Arabidopsis thaliana: one gene and its partner. The protein of the gene in region 1 interacts with the protein of each later gene in a pairwise test. Each region holds a gene or a part of one and is shown in the gene's direction. Other genes may lie near its edges.

Region 1 (6,789 bases):
CCAAGATACAAGTTTTCTGAATTCTTAAAGTTGAAAAACTTGAGTTTGAAGATTTTAAAAGCAGAAACGAGCTCTTGCCCATCTTTCAAGAACTGACCCTGATGTAGCGTATCTGTTTCACTGCATGATTTTCCTAACAAGAGAGATAAAGTAAGAAGAGAGACAAAGATGCCATTTGAACACATAGTTTCAGAAAGATGGATGATTTGGCAAATAGATTTCTTTCTAAAGTGGTTTTTTAAAGATATATCTTGTTTGTGATCAAAGTCATATCAGAAGTTCCAAGTCTACTACGCTGGGAGACAAAATTGAAGTCTTGGCCGTTGAAGTTTCTAAGCAACAGCTGTTATCACAACTAATTAGCAAGAAAGTGACCACAAAATTGAAGTTGACTCTTATTACCTAAAACAAGACACATACATAACAGAACCAGACGCCATGCTCTTGAGCAATTGTTTTTGTTTTTAACGAACATCTCACGCCTGTTGGGAGAATACAACACCCAATAAGGATTTAAAAGGGGGAGACTACTTACCTGAGAAATAAAAAGCCAATTGCTACCAAGAGAGGAGAAACAGAGTTATATCATTTCTTCATAAAAAGACAAAAAAGTATTTCATCATGGTTCATAAAACCCCAAATCTTATTGGTAAAGAAAAATAAATAATTTATAATCATTTTGTTGAAAGAAAAAAACCCAAAAAAAAAAAAGAAATAAGAAATCCAAAAGCTTCTTGTATTGATTGAACGGAAAATGTTGTTAGAGTACATAATAATAACCCTGTTTTACTTGGTAAGGAGACCATTTTATTGGTTTCAATGGTAGAAAAGAATACAAGAATCAGACTTAGCTTGTAACATATAACTGGTTAGAAATAAAGACTCAAGTAAGGTATATCATCCGTGGAATTGTTGACCTTCGAATCTTGGGTTACAAGCAAACGTAACAATCGTTGAAGCTATCGATGGAAGATAAAGACTTCCTCGAATCCATTCTCTAGCTTATTAGGTCTTCTCTACAATCCACAACAACTTGAGAAAGACGACTATGTATGAAGTACCTCGAAAGAAAGTGAAGGAATAATGAGAAATGAGAGAAAATTGGTAACTCAAGAGTGTGATAAACTGCTCATATTGTTTCTCTACTATGTGTGGGTTCCGTGGAGAAGGAGAAGAATATACGACATAGTTTTGATAAACCAATTTAAAAGTTTTAATGATTTTACTATTACAGTATTAGATGTTTTCGAAGCTAGAAGATTTTCTCTCTTTTTCTTTTTTTTTGGCAAGAATTTAGGTAACAAATATAACAACTCAAAAACAATATTTTTATATTTAAGTCTGATATAAAATAAATAAATGATAATAATTTTCAAATTATAAATTTAAAAATCTAATAAATTATAAATACAAAATGATAATTAAAAAGACGCTAAAAACTTCAATCCGCCTGGGTGGATGGGAAGAAGCAAATCTTTGAGTGAGTTTTTAATTCAAGAATAATTAAAATACTCCATTTGGTGATTTGGTGGACCGTTAGAAATTAAAAGCAAAATGCAAAAATATTCAAGTGGGATAACATAATTTAACTGACAATTTGTTCATGTTTCCACTAACTTTTCTGATGGAAAAAAACGCACTATTTGCAACTATAACGCACTAATCTCTTAAAAAAAAAGGTTAACCATAAACTCTAAACTCTTCCAAAAAAGCTTAAATACTCCTAACTAACCAAATTAATCTTTTAAACAAAAGTCAAAAAGTTACAAATTATATGAAAACTCACGTCAACCCCAGTTACAATATTGTCTCTGGAAAACTTCCTAAAACTAGTACATTAAATAAATATTTATAGAAAGAACCGTTCATTAGTTTTAAATTAGAATACTAATTAACATCACAGTAATGCCGTTCTTAACTTAATAATTTTTAAAACAGAACACACAGATTCTTAAGTACTTCCTCCTCCACTCGAATATCTTTTTATTCTCTCTCTCTCTCTCTCACATTTAACCCCAAAATCATGGATCGCCTTACCAAGAACAAAACCCTAATTCATCATCACTTGTCTGATTCTTCTCTATTGGTTTATCTTTTATGAACCTTCCTCCTTGGCCGGTCTCTCAATATCCCCGGTATGTAAATGTTTGACCTCTATCTTATCTCTTCTGTTCTGTTCTTTGTTTTGTCTTTGTTTGTCCATTTTTGGTTGTTACTGGTTCCACACGTGTTCTCCGCAGCTTTATTTTTAGTGCTCTCTTTTATTTTTAATGTAATTCGCAATTTTTTCTATTAATCGTAGAATTTCCCGGTTTTTGTGGATGTGTTTCAGTTCCGTTATTGCAATTTTTCCAGGATTTGCTGTTTGAATAAAAAATTCTGTTTTTTTTTTCTTTCTCTTTTCTGGGTTAAGATCTTTTTCTCATAGCAAAGGTAATTTCTGTGATTGTAGCATGATTCATTGTTTGTTTTAATAATTTCTCTGAATTCATGTATTGATTCCTTTGTTTCTGGGAGATTTTTGTAGTTTTAGAGTTGTTTTGGTGAGGTTTGATCATGGATGTGACCGAGCTTGAAGAGAATCTATTCGCGGCTAGCGATGCCAAGGTTCGGTTTTTAAATTGAAATGTTCGAATTCGGATTGTAATTGTTGGAATCTGATTAAATTTGCATCTCTGATTATTGCAAACAAATTTTCTATTAGAAATAGTAATTGGGTTATCTTAAAGGACATATTTTTTATTATCATTTGATTTCAATGTTGTTAGAGGGTTTCGTGTTTTTATGTTCTTGGTGTTTGATGATTTGATTGTCTTGTGCTTTTGCTACAGTTACATGGAGATATGTGCAAGGAACTATCTGGAGTTCTATGCAAGGTACTTTCAATCTTCCCGTCATTGGAAGGAGCAAGACCGCGTAGCAAATCAGGGATTCAAGCCTTATGCTCTTTACATATTGCACTTGAGAAGGCAAAAAATATTCTTCAGCACTGTTCTGAGTGTAGTAAACTTTACTTGGTCAGTTTTTTCTCTCTTTGGACAAGTTTTATGCTTTCTCGTTTCGTGTGTTTTGCTTCTTTAATGTTCTACATTTTCCAATGTGAACAGGCCATAACGGGGGATGCGGTTCTTTTAAAGTTTGAGAAAGCAAAAATTGCTCTCATTGATGGTCTTAAACGTGTAGAAGACATTGTTCCTAGCTCAATTGGGTCACAGGTAATTATTACTCAGTTCATTTCACATTGTGATGATTAAGATAAGTCCACTTGTTGATTGATAGTTATGATGTTTATAGTTGAGAAGTCTGTTTTTTTTTATGTATGATTTCTTCAGATTTTGGAAATTGTTGGTGAACTAGAGAACACCAGGTTCATGCTTGATCCATCGGAGAAGGAAGTCGGTGATCAGATTATTGCATTGCTTCAACAAGGGAAGAAATTTGACAACTGTAATGACAACACCGAGCTTGAAATTTTCCACCGTGCTGCTACTAGACTAAGTATCACTTCTTCTAGAGTGGCTCTGGCAGAACGAAGGGCTTTAAAGAAACTCATTGACAGGGCACGCGCCGAAGAAGACAAGCGTAAGGAATCAATTGTGGCTTATCTTCTGCATCTTATGAGAAAATGCTCCAAGCTATTCAGAAGTGAGATCTTGGATGAGAATGACTCTCCGGGTTCCTATCCATGTTCTCCTAATGAAGATCATGGGAGTGTTCATGGGTTTGGTCGTCAGCTATCAAGGTTTGGTTCTTTAAACGACAAGCCCATGAACAGCATAAATTCAGGACAGATGCCTGTTCCACCCGAAGAACTGAGATGTCCCATATCTTTGCAACTTATGTGTGATCCTGTCATTATTGCTTCAGGGCAGACTTATGAACGGGTCTGTATTGAGAAATGGTTCAGTGATGGGCATAATACTTGCCCAAAGACTCAACAACAGCTCCCACATATCTCTTTGACTCCCAATAACTGTGTTAAAGGTCTTATTGCGAGCTGGTGTGAACAGAATGGAACTCAAATTCCTAGTGGGCCGCCGGAATCTCAAGACCTCGACTACTGGAGACTAGCTCTCTCTGACTCCGAGTCCACCAAATCACAGTCAGTCAACAGTATAGGGTCGTATAAATTGAAGGGCGTAAAAATTGTTCCGTTGGAGGAGAATGGTACTACTGTTGTTGAACGACAAAACACAGAAGAAAGTTTTGTGTCTGATGATGATGATGAGGAGGATTCTGATATAAATGTACTTGAGAGGTATCAAGATTTATTGGCTGTCTTAAACGAAGAGGAGGGTTTGGAGAAAAAATGCAAGGTTGTAGAAAAAATCAGGCTATTGCTGAAGGATGATGAAGAGGCCAGGATCTTCATGGGAGCCAACGGGTTTGTTGAAGCCTTGTTGCGATTCTTAGGATCAGCTGTAGATGATAACAATGCTGCAGCTCAGGATAGTGGAGCTATGGCTCTGTTCAATTTAGCCGTCAACAACAACAGGTTAGTACCTCTTGTTGATGTTGGTAATACAATAATAGATTGTGACTTTCTCATTACTTTTTGTGTTCTCAAGGAACAAAGAGTTGATGTTAACTTCTGGGGTGATTCGGCTGCTGGAGAAAATGATTTCTTCTGCTGAGTCCCATGGTTCAGCAACCGCGCTTTATCTGAACCTTTCCTGTCTCGATGAAGCAAAGTCCGTGATAGGTTCAAGCCAAGCAGTACCTTTCCTTGTCCAACTTCTTCAGAAGGAAATCGAAACCCAATGCAAGCTCGATGCTCTTCACGCCCTCTACAACCTTTCCACATATTCCCCCAATATCCCTGCTCTCCTTTCATCTAACATCATCAAGAGCCTCCAAGGCCTTCTCGCATCAACAGGTGAAAATTTGTGGATAGAGAAGTCACTAGCCGTATTGCTAAATCTAGCTTCAAGCCAGGAGGGCAAAGATGAAGCGGTATCATCACAGGGCATGATCAGCAGTCTAGCAACAGTGCTAGACATGGGTGACACAACAGAGCAGGAGCAAGCTGTTTCATGCCTTTTGATTCTATGCAATGGAAGAGAGTCTTGTATCCAAATGGTGCTACAAGAAGGTGTGATACCATCATTAGTGTCAATCTCTGTAAACGGAACACCTCGAGGCAGAGAGAAGTCTCAGAAGCTTCTAATGCTGTTTAGGGAAGAAAGACAGCAACGGGACCAGCCATCTTCAAACAGAGATGAGCCACCCCAAAAGGAACCTGCCCGAAAATCTCTCTCAGCACCGCTGTCTGTCCATGGATCAACTCCTGCTTCAGCTTCAGTTCAAGACTATGAACCAAGAGTCCTGTCGAAATCAATGTCGAGAAGAAAGTCGATGGCAAGACCATTCAGCTTCTTCTGGAAGAAAAGCTACTCGGTTCGCGAGTGAGAAAGAAGAAAATATCACATGTACATACAAGTACAACCTTTTATATGTAAAGCTTTGTTTTTCTTTCTTACAAGTTACAAAAGTCATTTCATAGAGAAGAAGATATGTTGTACAGGTCTCATTGTGATTAGTACACTCGATTTTTGTTGTTCTTTTGGTTAGCCAAAAAAAGATGTATATCAATCAAGGTAAATACAAGTAAAACAAAACCCCAGTTTTAACATCGTATTCACTTATTGTCATTCTTCTGGTTTATTATGTTTCTATGATAAGTATCCAAAGTTTTAAAACAAATCTTAAACTTAGGTTACTTAGAATATGACATTTACAAAGTAATGAATACAAGAAGTACTTGAAAGAGACCAAAACATGTAAGCTATTGTGTCACCCCTCGGGTTCAAATCTCGAAAGAAATCAGGTCGAATAGGATTCAGAACGCGAGAAGGTGAGCGAATCCGCGCTTCTACTACTTCGTTTGATGGGATTCTGAATCCATCCGGTCTCAAAGAGTTCCAAGATCGGATCTCTGCGGCTACTGCTGCTTCGACCAGTGCTTCCACCGCCATCTTCTCCACTACTTCCTCTCTGTAATGCCTCCTTGTACGACACTTTCTTCTCCGTCCCCAAATTCCTCTTCTCTTCCTCCTCTTCTGAAACTGACCCTGATCTGCTAAAGCTCCTATCAACTGTGATCTCTTTCTCATTCGTCCCTTTGTTCTTATCTCTCCAACGTCCCAACACGTTCACCAACAAACCAAGCCTAGAAATAACATGAACCAACAACCAATCTAGCCACGCCACTCGGCTCATCAAACTCGGAAGTTTCTTGAGCACTCCATCAAGTTTCTCTGGCAGAGTCTCTACAATGATCAACAAATCAAAGATCTTAACAAACACATTGCTTGAAGAAGGGAAGTAAGTCTCGATTGCGTCTTGTAACGCGAGTATATGATCGTCAGCTACAGAGAGAACCGCGAGAAAATGACGATGAAACGGACTTGTCATCGAAACAAAGAAGATAACGAATTCAAAGAGTTTCCTCAATAGCCAAGAGGATAGATTCTTCTTCTTCTTCATCAGAGTCTGGCTTCTTGTGTAAAGAACACGAGTCATGGAGAGTATTACACCACCACAAGTCTCAAGAGGACGACGTCGCGGCCTCCTTCTCGCCGGTTGCTCCTGTCAAAATCCAAAATCACAAAAAATAACCAAACATGTCCAGATTATTTGAGGTTATCAAAGGGTAAGAACAAAGAGAATTGCATACCATTTATGAGGAATGTAGCAGATTCCAAATGTTTTATTTTCTCGTCTGTAAATTTTCCCGGAAAATGATCGAGAAACTTTTGAGAAAATTAGTTCGGTTTCAGGATTTTATAC
Region 2 (6,119 bases), on another chromosome or scaffold:
TTTGATGAGTTTATGTTATTGCAATATATTTAGATTTTTAAACCACCAGAACTTTTTTTTATTGATTTCGTTTTAGCTTTGATGTTGTGTATTTTGCAGGCTGAATATTTCCGTCAATTGTTGAAGCCCGTCACGTAGAGTAGCTCGATACTTATCGTTCTTGTTTCAAGCCTAGTTTCTTCTATCCATTTAGTTGGTAAGTTCCAGTCTTTGCACACATAATCTTTTGACCTCCCATTCTTGATTATAAGTAGCTGATTTGTTTGAGATGATGATGTCCTCTGTTTTGGATAGTTGATTTGTTTAGTGTTGGATGGGACAAGATCGTGGGTTTGGGTTTCCTACTCAGCGCTTGTGTTCCTTGTCTTCCCTAGCTCTGTCTCATCTCGGGAAGCAAGACTTGAATTTAGTATCTAAAACCTGCGGCGACACCACCGACATGTTTTCTACTCGTGGATCTTATCAAGTTTCTACCCAAGTCTCTCAATCCTATTTTGATGGGTATTGTGGATGGGTTCATGGGTCATCCCACCTACAGCAGCAGTTCTTGCCTCCTCAAAACCAATGTATGAAGCAAGTACCTCTTCAAGTAGACGGTGTTATATCTAAAGCTGAGGAACAATGTAGTCAGAAGAGGTTCCTAGTGTTTGATCAGTCTGGAGATCAGACGACTTTGCTACTCGCTTCCGATATACGGAAATCTTTTGAGACCCTAAAACAGCATGCCTGTCCTGATATGAAGGAAGAGCTCCAAAGAAGCAACAAAGATTTGTTTGTTTGTCACGGAATGCAAGGAAATAGCGAACCGGATTTGAAGGAGGATTCGGAAGAACTAAATGCATTGCTTTACTCTGAAGATGAGAGTGGTTATTGCTCTGAAGAAGATGAGGTTACAAGCGCAGACCATTCCCCAAGCATTGTAGTATCAGGCCGTGAGGACCAAAAAACATTTCTTGGAAGCTATGGACAACCATTAAATGCTAAAAAGAGAAAGATACTCGAAACCTCGAATGAGAGTATGCGGGACGCTGAATCGAGCTGTGGTAGTTGTGACAACACAAGGATTAGTTTTCTGAAACGTTCTAAGCTGTCTAGTAACAAGATAGGAGAAGAGAAGATATTTGAGACTGTAAGCCTCTTGCGCAGTGTAGTCCCCGGGGAGGAACTGGTGGACCCGATCTTAGTCATCGATAGAGCCATTGATTACCTTAAATCATTGAAGATGGAAGCGAAAAATCGAGAAGCATGAGGTTCTTTGTTTGTAGGATACCTAAGACATATTAGCATTGGCAAGTGGACTTGGTTTCTAAACAAAGTAGTAGACATATTGGACCGTGGTACTCTTGTCAAGCTACAAAGGGATCAGGTTGTTGCTAGTTGGAAGATAAACCAAATAATGTTTCGGAGTTGCAAGAGAAGGAATTGATATTAAAATGCAAATTGAATATTTCATATTAGTTGATGATTAAGATGGATTGCGAAATTTTAATTTCAGTCGTTTAGCTGTTTGTTATATCATGTAGTTGCTTCTTCTTTTTCTATAAGATTTTGTCGGTGTGGTTGTTATTGTTCATCTGTGAGTCGTGTGGCCGAGAGAATCATAAATGGGAAAGTTGAATAACCATTTTCAATGATAGGCCAATTATAATGGTAAACACACAATTAATTTAACTTTTTTACAAATGATTAAAGATGTTTGTTTTCGTGCCAAACAGACATGTGATTTGGTGGGATATTTGGCAGTCTTTTGTCAATATGGTAGCAATTTTTGCCTATTGTTTCATGATTAAGACTCTTATCACTTGTCATTTCCTGACTTTTGTGCATAGAACTAGTGACATGTGATATACTGTAGTCCCATCCAGTTTATAAGTTTTGAATACATGTCTCTAGCCATTCAGAATAAATCTTGCAGCTAAATGTTTTAGAAACCGGACCAGATACCGGTTCATCCCAATTTCAGCCACATGAACGATTCTTGGTCTGCAGGACCGGACCGGTCCGGTTTTTAAAACATTACAAAAATAATTTTATATGCGTAATAAAAAAATGAAGGAACAAAACTGTAATGTTCGTCTCGGGAGACACAATCCAGAAACGAAACGCCTTTTGTGAGAGAGAGAAGAGAAGAGAAGAGAAGAGAAGAGAAGAGAAGAGATCGCACCACACAAAAACTACAATTTTGTTTTGGAAATTACTCTCACCCACCTGAATTTTGTTGCTAGAGAGACAACACTTAGGTTTTGGGCGGAGTTCTGATGTGAAATGAATCGGCGTAGAAAATTTTCAGGATCCTCCAATTCGTCAGAGAGTGTAGCGAGGAGTGTCTGATCCGTTCGCTGATTCTAATGGCTGGACGGGTCTTCGAAGCCTGGAAGGGAAGTAATGTAAGCTTTTCTTTTTCTTTCTTAAGGCGTCTCGATTTCGCTTTACTCTTTTCCCTTTTCTGGAATCTACATTTAGGTTTTCTTAAAGGCGACATTTTTATGACTTCACTGTCCTAGTTTTAAGAAAAATAATTGCAGAGAAGAATGTTCTGAGTGGATTTGTTGTTTTGATGAGAACAATGTGGACATTTTTGAGGGAAATTGTACTTTTGTGTGAAGAAATTAGTATCATCATATTCAATTAGATTACATTGGTGAGCTTTATTGGATTCGACTGTATATGTTGAATTTGGTGGCTTTAAATTTCGAATCTTTTTCAACTCTATCACTGTTGATAGTGTCATTTATTGTTATCATTGCGAAGATCTAAGTTTGAACATATATACCGTATTTGTTAGATTTGGTTTGGTTCCATGCTGATGCATCACCATATTTACAACATTGATGAGCTTTCTATTCACTATTGGTTCACTCTCCAAGCATGAACTTGCATTTTTGGTGAACTCTATCAGTCTATTGTCAGATTTTGTTCAATGGAACCCATTACCACTTGTGAATGTAGCTTTTGATGCAATGCTCTATGCTGTATTTATTCTGAACATGATGATCATCTTCTCTTTTGTTGGTCTTTTGCAGAAGTTTCTGTTTGGTGGGAGATTGATATTTGGGCCAGATGCTTGGTCTATTCCTTTTACCTTCCTGCTCATCATAACTCCCGTTTGTTTCTTTTCTGTATTTGTTGCAACACATCTTCGCCGCGAGCTCTTACCAAACAATGCGGGACATGTGTTCTTAGTGGCAGGAGTTCTATTTACTGTCTTTGTAAGTTTTCTCCAATGCCCATTTGATATTTGATTTCTTGTTCACATGTATCTTGTATACCTTATAATCTTATCATGGGATATTATAGGATCTTATCAACTCTTTTATAAGTTTTGAATGTTGATTATATACATGCATTATAGTATGATTCACTTGTAATTATACGACAATAAGTTAAAAATCTTACCAAAATTTTGAAATCACACCTCAATAACATGTATCTTACTGTGTTTCTTGTTATGTTCTTTCCTCTAGCTTAGATATAAAGTTTGAAGTATTATTTTGAATGTTGTCACTTTTTGTGTGGCTTTTGGATTATGCTTTTTTTGGGCAGGTTTATTATTCTTCCTTCATTTATGTTTTTTTTAAAATCATGTAAATACTTAATAGGTACTGATCCTTCTCTTCCTCACTTCTGCGCGGGATCCTGGAATCGTTCCAAGAAATTCGCATCCGCCAGAGGAAGAACTATGCTATGATACAACTGTATCAAGTGATGGAAGACAAACACCCACTGTTCAAATTCCTAGGACGAAGGAAGTCATGGTTTATGGCGTTTCTGTTAGAGTTAAATATTGTGATACATGCATGCTTTATCGGCCTCCTCGATGCTCCCATTGTTCCATTTGCAACAACTGTGTTGAGCGCTTTGATCATCATTGCCCTTGGGTAGGCCAATGCATTGGAGTGGTAAGCTGATTCAAAAGCATATTAAACTGGGAAGATATGCAGTTCATAAGTTCTTATAAGCAGAAAAATGTGCAGGATTTTCTATAAAAGGATTTCATATTTTGAGGATCTGGTTTTTCTAGTTGTTGACAAAACTGTGAACTTTAATTTTCCATCTTGACATTTTGTTTTGTGTGTGTTGTGGGCAGAGAAACTATAGGTACTTCTTTATGTTTGTTTCTTCGGCAACTATTCTCTGCATCTACATTTTTTCGATGTCGGCATTATACATCAAGGTTCTGATGGATAACCATCAAGGTACTGTGTGGAGGGCAATGCGAGAATCACCCTGGGCGGTTATGCTGATGATATATTGCTTTATTTCCCTGTGGTTTGTTGGAGGGCTTACTGGGTTTCACTTGTACCTCATTAGCACAAACCAGGTTAGTTTTGTTCTGCTCAGGGTATGCGTTGTGTAAATTGTGTCCTATCTGATACCCAACATTTCAATTTTTCAGACGACCTATGAGAATTTCCGGTACAGATCAGACAATAGAATCAACGTTTATAACCGTGGGTGTTCAAACAATTTTTTTGAGACATTTTGCTCAAAAGTTAAACCCTCAAGGAATGACTTCAGAGCGTTCATCAAAGAAGAACCTCCAAGGAATATTACATTGGCTACCACATGGGAACGACCAGAAGAAGCAGATGAAGAAAACAGGGAGGAACGGCGCCAGAAGGTGGAAGACGATCTAGACATCGATGAAGATGTTATGAAACTGCAGCAGCGTTTAAATGACGAAGAGGGCAGCGATACAGCGCATCACAAGATCGATATTGACCAAATGAGAATCGGGTCTAATGAGAGAGCGCCAACAATTCGATCAGAAGCCAGGCATGGAAACTGGGGAGCAAGAAGCAATGCACAGGAGGAGGACGTAATTGCTGGTTCTTCAGTAAGAGAAAGTAGAAGCTATGCAGCTGCAGAGGAGGGACGGTGATGAGTGAACGATGGTAGTAGGGTAATTATTTTGAAGCTTTTTCTTTCTTACTAAGTTTTTATTGTTTTCAATTTTTCATTATTTTGTGGGTTTGGTTTGATTTGGGAGTTGTGAACACTATTTGTGAATAAGTTTAGTGTAAGCTTGGGTAGAGGTCGAATTAAGTTATAAGTAATCAACTTTTTGAATGTTTTGCCGTGATGATGATTTCTAATGATGATTTAGGTTACTCTGGTTTTTGCCTTAAAATAGACAGAACCACAGTTTTATTTTACTGTTTTTCTTTCTAAATAAAGAAAGGCGATAAGATTGAATATTTTTGTCCCCTGACCAAAGTTATAGGAACCATGACAATGATCTATTTATAGAGACCGTTCAAACTGAGAACACACTAAATTTTTTACATTCTTAAATTAGACTTGCCATTTTGGTATATATATGACCCAAAGTGATATTGCCTCAACCAACAAAAGCTAAAACCAAAATCCGATTTCCCCATACTTAGAGGTCAAGAGAAATAAAATATTTTTCCGGCGACGCAATGGCTTCTTACTCCGGTTGTTTCTTCGTCGTTACTTTGGCAGTTCTGTCACAATTTCTCTTAGCCCCAGCTTCAGCCTTGGTCAACAGGGAATACATCGATTCCAATTGCCAAAGAGTCAAAAACAAAGCCTTCTGCATCCAAACTTTGACCACCTATCCTCCTGCCGCTGCTGCCACCGGCCTGGTACTGATCATCTAAACACATAGTTATTCAGTAATAATTCTAAACTAAAACACATCTACATAGCTTTTGATGGTTTGTTTCGATAAGCGTCTATGGCAACATCATTTAAAAGGAATTCAATGGAAAAAGTGTGAAGAACCAACCATTTGTTTTAAGAAGTTTTTATAGGTGTTTAAAAAGTTCATTAAAACTTTGAAATTGCTTATGTTTTAATCTGTAGTTACCATTGGCTGAGGCCGTGGTTGGCCTTGCAATATCCCACTGCGAGAAGACAGCTGGTTTCGCAGCAGAGACAGCCAAAAAGGACGCAACATTGAAGACTCAGTTCAACGAGTGCCACGACGCCTATGTTGGTATTTTGGCGTCTCTAAAGAGCGCTCTACTGGAACTCAAGGACTCACCAGACACTGCCAACTACGACGTCATGGTTTCTGGCGATGATACAAGGCGTGTGAAGGGTTTGGTCGAGAAAAACACTGACACTGCTTCCAAGACGCTTATGGAGATGAC

Evidence for each region.
Region 2: the proteins of AT1G67530 (region 1) and AT5G50020 interact in a two-hybrid assay, tested with the Arabidopsis thaliana proteins (one large-scale study listed by BioGRID).

Annotation. Positions count from the first base shown.
Region 1 is NC_003070.9:25,305,673-25,312,461, forward strand, and holds AT1G67530 (ARM repeat superfamily protein), read left to right. Parts: upstream 1-1,944; 5' UTR 1,945-2,135; intron 2,136-2,148; exon of another isoform or gene 2,149-2,433; intron 2,434-2,484; exon of another isoform or gene 2,485-2,527; 5' UTR 2,528-2,556; coding exon 2,557-2,607; intron 2,608-2,831; coding exon 2,832-3,017; intron 3,018-3,107; coding exon 3,108-3,215; intron 3,216-3,332; coding exon 3,333-4,495; coding exon of another isoform or gene 4,496-4,568; coding exon 4,569-5,409; 3' UTR 5,410-5,636; downstream 5,637-6,789. Other genes in the region: AT1G67520 (lectin protein kinase family protein), read right to left, coding at 1-133, 403-475; AT1G67540 (uncharacterized protein), read right to left, coding at 5,824-6,588, 6,677-6,679. UniProt on the Arabidopsis thaliana protein: Functions as an E3 ubiquitin ligase.
Region 2 is NC_003076.8:20,349,243-20,355,361, forward strand, and holds AT5G50020 (DHHC-type zinc finger family protein), read left to right. Parts: upstream 1-1,917; 5' UTR 1,918-1,967; coding exon 1,968-1,999; exon of another isoform or gene 2,000-2,290; coding exon 2,291-2,387; intron 2,388-3,023; coding exon 3,024-3,209; intron 3,210-3,599; coding exon 3,600-3,899; intron 3,900-4,087; coding exon 4,088-4,321; intron 4,322-4,396; coding exon 4,397-4,882; 3' UTR 4,883-5,075; downstream 5,076-6,119. Other genes in the region: AT5G50010 (transcription factor bHLH145), read left to right, coding at 314-1,249; AT5G50030 (Plant invertase/pectin methylesterase inhibitor superfamily protein), read left to right, coding at 5,424-5,609, 5,830-6,119. UniProt on the Arabidopsis thaliana protein: Palmitoyl acyltransferase.